Linked DNA regions of Canis lupus familiaris. The protein of the gene in region 1 interacts with the protein of each later gene in a biochemical or structural test. Links are inferred from orthologs where the notes say so. Each region holds a gene or a part of one and is shown on either strand. Other genes may lie near its edges. The genes, in order: MDC1 and CDC27.

Region 1 (3,823 bases):
CTCTCTCTCTACTACTGGTTTCTCTGCTTCTCTTTCAAATATTTCTCTTGCAATAGACTGCTTTTCTGTCTCTTTCTCTTGTGCCTCCCTGGGTATCTCAATTTCTATGTTTAAACTCTCCATGTTCCTTTCAGTACTTGCACTTTTCACCTTTTGGTCAGACTCTTGTCCCTGATTATCTCTAGCTAACACCCGTATCCCTCTAGTTAACTCTTCTCCTAACACATCTTCTCTCTCTCCTGCTGGCAGCTTCTTGGTTTCCCTGTCCAATGGGCCTCTCTCAGGGGCCACCTCCTCTGGTGCTTCTCTTGGTGTACCCATGTCTTTCTCCACAGTCTGCATCCCTCTGCCTTGAATCCCCAGTGGCTCTGCATGAACTGGGCTCTCTGGATGTTGGGCTTGTGGTGCTGTCCTAGGTGTAGAGGGGCAAGATCCATGGGCATCAATGTGGGCAGCAATGGGCTGGGGCTCAGAGGCCTCAGACTCTCTTGGACAGAATGGCTGTGTTGCCAAGACTTCCCACGGCTCATCCAGGGCACCTGGAAGTAGAGTCAGGGAGAGAGAGACAGAGAGAGACAGAGAGACAGAGAGATAGAGACAGAGAGACACACACACAGAGAGAGAGAGATGCAGATTGGGAAAGTAATAAATAGGATGAGAAAAGATTAAGATAAATTCATGAATAATAGGGATGCCTGGGTGGTTCAGTAGGTTAAGTGCCTGCCTTCGGCTCAGGTCATGATCTTGGGTCCTGGGATTGAGCCCCACGTGGGGCTCCCTGCTCAGCAGGGAGTCTGTTTCTCCCTCTCCCTCCACCCCTTCCCCAAATCGTGCAGGTGTGCTCTCTTTCTCTCCCTCAAATAAAGCAATAAAATTTTTAAAATAAAAAATTCATGAATAATAAACCTAATAATCATAATCATAAGCTGGTCATTAAAGGAAAGTTGGGAAGAGGACCAAAAAAATAAGATGCATACAGAAGTTCTCATAGCAGCCTCTTTAAAAATGATGGAGATGGAGAAACGTCAGTAAAAAGTCAAAGAATATGAAAGAAACATGTAAAGAGAAAAAGCAATGATGCCAAGTTAGGAGCATGAAGGATAGAGTTTCTTATACCTGAGGCCTGGAAGCTGTAATAGGAAGGGCCAGACTCTTGGGGTAGAGTAGCCAGGAAGGCCTGAGTGGCTTCATCCTCCATGCTCTGGACTGCTGCAGAAGAAAAGCTGGCTCACGCCTAGCTCTTCCACAGAACTCTGGGGACCCATTCTTGGCCTCCTGCCCCACCTACACCAGCTTTCACAACCTTCAAGGACCACCAGTCTGGGCTCCCAGCTCCCACTTGCACCAACATCCATACAACACAGATGCCCTCACCTTCTGGGCTCTGATTCTCTCTCTCCACAAAGCACTGGGTAGCCTGTAGGTCCAGGTCTTCAGAATCTGATGGGGGAGCAATATAAGATAGATAAGTCATATCTCATGCTTAACTCCTTACTCTTTCTCTACCATTTTCTCCCCAACCCCAAGCCCTCTACAATGGACTGAATGTTTGTATCCCACCCAAAATTCATATGTTGAAACCTAATCCCCAATGTGATTTTATTAGGAGGTAAGGTCTTTGGGAGATGATTAGGTCATGAGGGTAGAACCCACTGAATGGGATTGGTACCCTTATAAAAGAGACCCCACAATTAGCTTGTGCCCTTCTACCATATGAGGACACAGTGAGACAACAGCTGCCTATGAACAAGGAAGTAGGTCTTCATCAGAACACAATCATACCAGAACTTTGTTGTTTTTTTTTAAGATTTTATTTATTCATAGAGACACAGACTGAGAGAGAGAGAGAGGCAGAGACACAGGCAGAGGGAGAAGCAGGCTCCATGCAGGGAGCCCGACGTGGGACTCGATCCCAGGTCTCCAGCAGGATCACACCCCGGGCTGCAGGGGGCGCTAAACTGCTGTGCCACTGGGGCTGCCCCATACCAGAACTTTGATCTTAGACTTCTAAGCCTTCACAACTATGAGAAAGAATTTCTATTGTTTATAAACCACCCAGCCTATGGTATTCTGTTACAGTACCCCAAGTGGACTAAGATATTCTATAAGCGTTCTTTCTTTTCGGGGTCAAGGAAGAAGGCCAGCACTTACCACCATGGTTGTCTCCACAGTTCTTGGTCCTGTCCACATGTGGTTCTCTCTTCCTTTCTGTGGGGGTCTGGGCTCCCTCTTTCTGTGGTTGGATGGTTTCTCCTGAAGTGCCTGTGTCCACCACCAGATCTATAAGGTTCTCCTTTGAGACAGGGAGAAGATCTTGCTCCACCTGTGATACAAGTGAAACCCCCTGGGCCCTCGCCTCAAGAACTCTCTCCTGCTCAAGAACTGGTGCAGCCGATTCTGTCCCAGCATCCCCTTCTGCTAGAAGCTGGTGCTTTCCAGTATCTGCCACCAGTGAGGCTGCTAAGGATGTGTCCTCCTCCACATCTGTCCCACAGTCCTCAGATAGAGGAGGCTGGGGTTCCCCTAGGTGCATCACAGGCAGCTTTGCTTGGCCCCCTTCTACTTCCACATATGTTTGATCTGTCCATACCACAGGCACCTGATGCTTCTCCACAAGTATAATAGCTGGTCCTGGTAGGACTTTCTCTTCCACTTGTGTGATGTCTATGGTGGCAGAGGCTTGATTTCTCTCCAGGTGGACCTCAAGTAAGCTCTTATCTTCATCTACCTCTAGATCACTGTCTTGGAGAGGAAACTGCCTCTTTTCTGAGCATGCCTTGTCTGTATGACACTTGGGCACAGTTCTTCTGTTTTCCATTGGGAGACCCTCCTCCTCCACGTCTGTCTTACTATCTCTCCCAGCAGAGGTTTGGCTTGGCTCCAGAAGGGCCACAGGTTGGGCCCTGTCCTCTTCCACATCTGTACCTCTGTTCCATGTATCAGATCCGCTCTCTTTCAGACGTGCCAAAGTGAGTGCTGCTAAGACTTCTTCCTCATCATCTGTATTGCTGTCAATCACCATGGAAATTTGGTTTCTCTCCAGAGGGACTGCCAGTTGGATCTCACTTTCCTCCACATCTGTATCATTACCAGCTGGGATCTCCTGTAGATGTACCAAAGCAGGTTCCTGAAGACTCTTTGTACTAACTCTGTGGAAGATTTGCCTCTTCTTCATAGGAACTACAGCTGGTGTTGCAGGGATCCGTTCTTCTTCCACATCAGTATCACTGTCTATGAAATCAGAAGGTTGGGCCCTTTCTAAATGGACTTCAGCAGGCCTTACTGGAGGCCTGCTCTCATCCACATCTGTGTCACTGTCCTCCCCAGCACTTTGGTTTCTCTCCAGAATCCCCCCAAGTGAGACCACCCCATTCCTTGCATCCCTCTCAACTTTTGTGTTATTGTTCCTCTCCTTCACTGAACACTGATCCTTTCCAAGCTGGGTTGCAGGTGTCATAGCTTTCAGCTGTTCTGTTTCTGCAGTGGGGCCTCTTCTGGCAGATAAGGAGGCCTCTCCCGCTGCTGAATGCTGACTTTCTTCCTCATCTGTGTCACTGTCCAGGTTGAAGGCAAAAGGTGGCCCAGGGCCATCTGGGGCAGGAGAAGGCCCCTCTTCATCACTGTAAAAGGGAACAGAAGAGAAAGGGTTGATAGCATCTGTTTCCCAAGAAGAAATACTCCACTCAACTATGAGCACCTTAAGGGCAGACACAAGGCAGTAGCTGTTTGTTTGTTTGTTTCTTTCTTTTCTCTCCAGCAATTAGTTCTCACTTGGCACATCAGAGATGCTCAATAAAAGTTCAGCTGAGCAAAAGAGTATGTG
Region 2 (3,823 bases), on another chromosome or scaffold:
AGGCAGTTATTAGATTCCTTTTTTCTAAACAGAATAAACCTTGATGTGGTTGTTTGAATTTATAGGGAAATAATTTCCCAAGTATCCATTGTTTTAATGGTATTTATTTGTTGCCAAATATCCCACACTTAGACTGTCTGTATCCAACTATCTTTCTCTAACTCGCTATGGTTGCAAATGAGAGCTAGAGAGTATTAGTTTATAGACATGTTTATCATTTATTGATCCAGAATTTTTATGTGGATTGTTTTAAGTTCAAATTAGCAATTTCATATAGAGTGAATATCCATGTTATAATTTTTATCATTTTATGGTAACAGATAACTTTTAAATCCTGAGTTTTCATAGAGGGATGACAAATAGACCAACCAAACTCAAGAACTTTAGAGTACAAACATGATGAATGCATTTTTTAAAATGTATCTGAATTGAAACAAGTAATGGTCATAAACTGTTTTTTTTTTTTAAGTCCACTTTTATCTTTTTTTTTTTTTTAGTACAACACCTCAGGTATTGAGCCCCACTATCACATCTCCCCCAAACGCACTGCCTCGAAGAAGTTCACGACTTTTTACTAGTGACAGCTCTACAACCAAGGTAATTTAAAGATTTCTGTTATATATACTTAATGCTTAGCCTTCTTAAATTTCTGTTCATTGATGACTTTATCTCAAACACAGAGACTATTTTAATTTTTTTTAATTTGTAAAGCTGTCTATAACATTTGTAGATTTTCTCCGTCCTTTAATAATGTCCTTTTTAAATAAATATTATAAAACATTGTTCAAAAGACAAAATTATTATGATGGGAAACAAATTAGTGGCTATTAGGAGTTAAGACTGTGGGGGGAAGATGTGACTATTAGAGCATAGCACAAAGGAGTTTCTTTGTGTAGTGGTCGAACAGTCCTGTATCCTTATTGTAATGGTTGATTATGCGAATCATACAAGTGATAAAATTTCATAGATCTGTCACACCAAAAAATAAGTACATGTCAAAACTGATGAAATCCAAATAAGATCTTAATTTAGTTGACAGTACTGAACTGATTCCAGGGTCATGGATTTGTTGATGTCCTGTGGTTATATCAGATAGTATCACTGGGAAAATTAGAGGGAGGATAAATAGAAGTTTTCTGTGTTTTCTTTGCATATTTCTTTGTACAGTTGGAGGGCCTCATTATGCCCTTGGTAAATTTTCTTGGTCCATTGACAAATATTATGGATAATTTTTAATTTTGACATCAACAAATCAACAGTTTTATGACTTACCAGTTACAATGCTCTGAGACAACTAGGTAGTATTACATCCATTTATTTTCTTATTTTAAATAATAAATGAAAGTGATACACTTTGAGAAAAGAGCAACGAACACATAATGCTGATTTATATTACACACTAATTCGTGAATACAATTTATTTTGCATTTAAAATTAAATGATTTTGAAAATTTTGTTTCTGTAATTTTTTTGTGAGAAAAATATAGCCCAGTCAAGACTATATATTTATTTTGTGTCTGATACTTGAGAAAGGACTGGGAAGTCTAAAATACATGAGTTTAACAAATGTGGAATTTTTCTCTTTTTTACAGGAGAATAGCAAAAAGTTAAAAATGAAGTTTCCACCTAAAATCCCAAACAGAAAAACTAAAAGTAAAACTAATAAAGGAGGAATAACTCAACCTAACATAAATGATAGCCTGGAAATTACCAAATTGGACTCTTCCATCATTTCAGAAGGGAAAATCTCCACAATCACACCTCAGATCCAGGCATTTAATCTACAGAAAGCAGCAGCAGGTCTGTTTTAAATGCTTAATATCTTCTTTGTATTTTATTTTATTCACTTTAAGTTTTTTTATGTTCATTAAAGTACATTCCAGTTTTTTCTAGATAGATATTGGAATTTTTAATAAATTATTTTGTAGTTAGCCTTTCTAAAAAAATCAAACTGTTTTATTGTGTTTTTCTCCTTTGTTTACTATATTGTTTTCTCCTAGAAGGTTTGATGAGCCTTCTTCGTGAAATGGGGAAAGGTTATTTAGCTTTGTGTTCTTACAACTGCAAAGAAGCTATAAATATCTTGAGCCACCTACCTTCTCACCACTACAATACTGGTTGGGTACTGTGCCAAATTGGAAGGGCCTATTTTGAACTTTCAGAGTACATGCAAGTAAGTATAGAAAACTATTATACATGCCTTTTTTAGAGAGAATTTAATTAAAATGCCTATGCTCGAGACAGATTTAAAAGGTAAATATTTAGGGGTACCTGGGTGGCTCAGTCAGGTAAGCATCCAACTCTTGATTTTAGCTTGGGTCTTGATCTCAGGGTCATGCATTCAAGTCCTGCATTGGGTTCCACACTGGGTGTGCAGCCTGCTTAAATTTAACAAAACGAGACAAAAAAAATAAAAGGCCAATATTTATTATGTAATGTCTTTATGTATATTTTCTGAGCATTTTAATTTATAAATAGACAATTTTTTCTTGTGTTAAGGGGTAATTCAAATTTGAGGGAATTGCTTATTTTAGAGAATCCAAGTCATCTATATGTTTTGTTATGTTTGGTTTTAAGATTTTATTTATTTTAGAGCTCAAGTCAGGGGAGAGGCAGAGGGAGAGGGAGAAAGAATCTGAAGCAGATTCCATGTGAGTGCAGAGCCTTACAAGGGCTCTATCTCAAAACCCTGAGATCATGACTTGAGCCAAAAATCAAGAGTTGGACGCTTAACCAACTGAGCCATCCAGGCACCCACATTCGTATATTCTTAGACAGACATTTGTACCCTGCTCAGTTGGATCCAAAGATATATTACCATGTAATAGATATTTATAATCAAAATTTTTTTCTACTATATGCAGAGTTCCTACTGGGATGAATTTCTGGCATTTAATATGTTTTATAAATTTGAAAAGTGCCATAAAGAAAACTGTATATAATCAAGGACATAATGTCCTTCGCAAGGCTTTTATCCTTTTAATTATGTTTGTTGCTTAAGTTACTTGTTTACCAGGAAAGAAGAAAAGAAAATTCTGATTTTTAATTTAAATTTTGTACCCACTTCACCCCTAAGTATTTCCCTATTTACTTTCATTTATTCAGTGCATATTATAGATTAATATTCTCTTCTAGACTCTGTAATACAGCTAGACAAATAATTGCTTGGCTTTCTAGAGCTTGCATTCTAGTAAGAGATTGTAAGCCAATAAATGTATAAGGACAGGTAGCAATAAGTCATAGGAAGAAAAAAATGAAGCATGGTAAGAGAATTGCAGGACAATAATAAATATGTGGTGCTATATATTAAAAAAACATGCTCAGAGAAAGGAGGTGACTCCTTCCTCCATGAGCCATGCAGATCTGAGAATGAAGTGTTCTTCCAGGTAGAGAATAGATACAGAAGATATTAACTCATGTACTTTTGTATGGAAAAGAAAGAAGTATTGCTGTAGACAGATAGCCTTATTCATTGCTATAAGTTCCATGTTTGGATAATGGTCCTTTACTGATACATAGACAAAAGCTATGTTTGGCAAGCCCTTTTCAAAATTATTTCTAATTTGTTTCAGAGGTACTTTAAAATACATAATTTTAATTGTTTCCCTCTAATTATAGAACAGTGACCCAGTTACTAACTAAACAGAAGCCTTTGTTTCAACTTAATTTCATGAGGGGTTTTTTTTCCCCCTTTTTTCTTTTTGTCTATGCCACAATCACTTTTCAGAGGACACTATAGATCCTGAAAAAATTGAAACCAAAATATTTCCAAAACCTGTATTTGACTTGGTCAAGTCTGTCTTCATATAACCAATGTCTGTTT

What was found.
Region 2: the proteins of MDC1 (region 1) and CDC27 form a complex in vitro, tested with the Homo sapiens proteins (2 studies listed by BioGRID). The link is inferred for Canis lupus familiaris from reciprocal best matches to the Homo sapiens genes MDC1 and CDC27.

Annotation. Positions count from the first base shown.
Region 1 is NC_049233.1:640,838-644,660, forward strand, and holds part of MDC1 (mediator of DNA damage checkpoint protein 1), read right to left. Parts: intron 3,621-3,823; coding exon 2,152-3,620; intron 1,441-2,151; coding exon 1,375-1,440; intron 1,210-1,374; coding exon 1,117-1,209; intron 540-1,116; coding exon 1-539. UniProt on the Homo sapiens protein: Histone reader protein required for checkpoint-mediated cell cycle arrest in response to DNA damage within both the S phase and G2/M phases of the cell cycle.
Region 2 is NC_049230.1:17,538,222-17,542,044, reverse strand, and holds part of CDC27 (cell division cycle protein 27 homolog), read left to right. Parts: intron 1-497; coding exon 498-597; intron 598-1,592; coding exon 1,593-1,800; intron 1,801-2,000; coding exon 2,001-2,173; intron 2,174-3,823. UniProt on the Homo sapiens protein: Component of the anaphase promoting complex/cyclosome (APC/C), a cell cycle-regulated E3 ubiquitin ligase that controls progression through mitosis and the G1 phase of the cell cycle.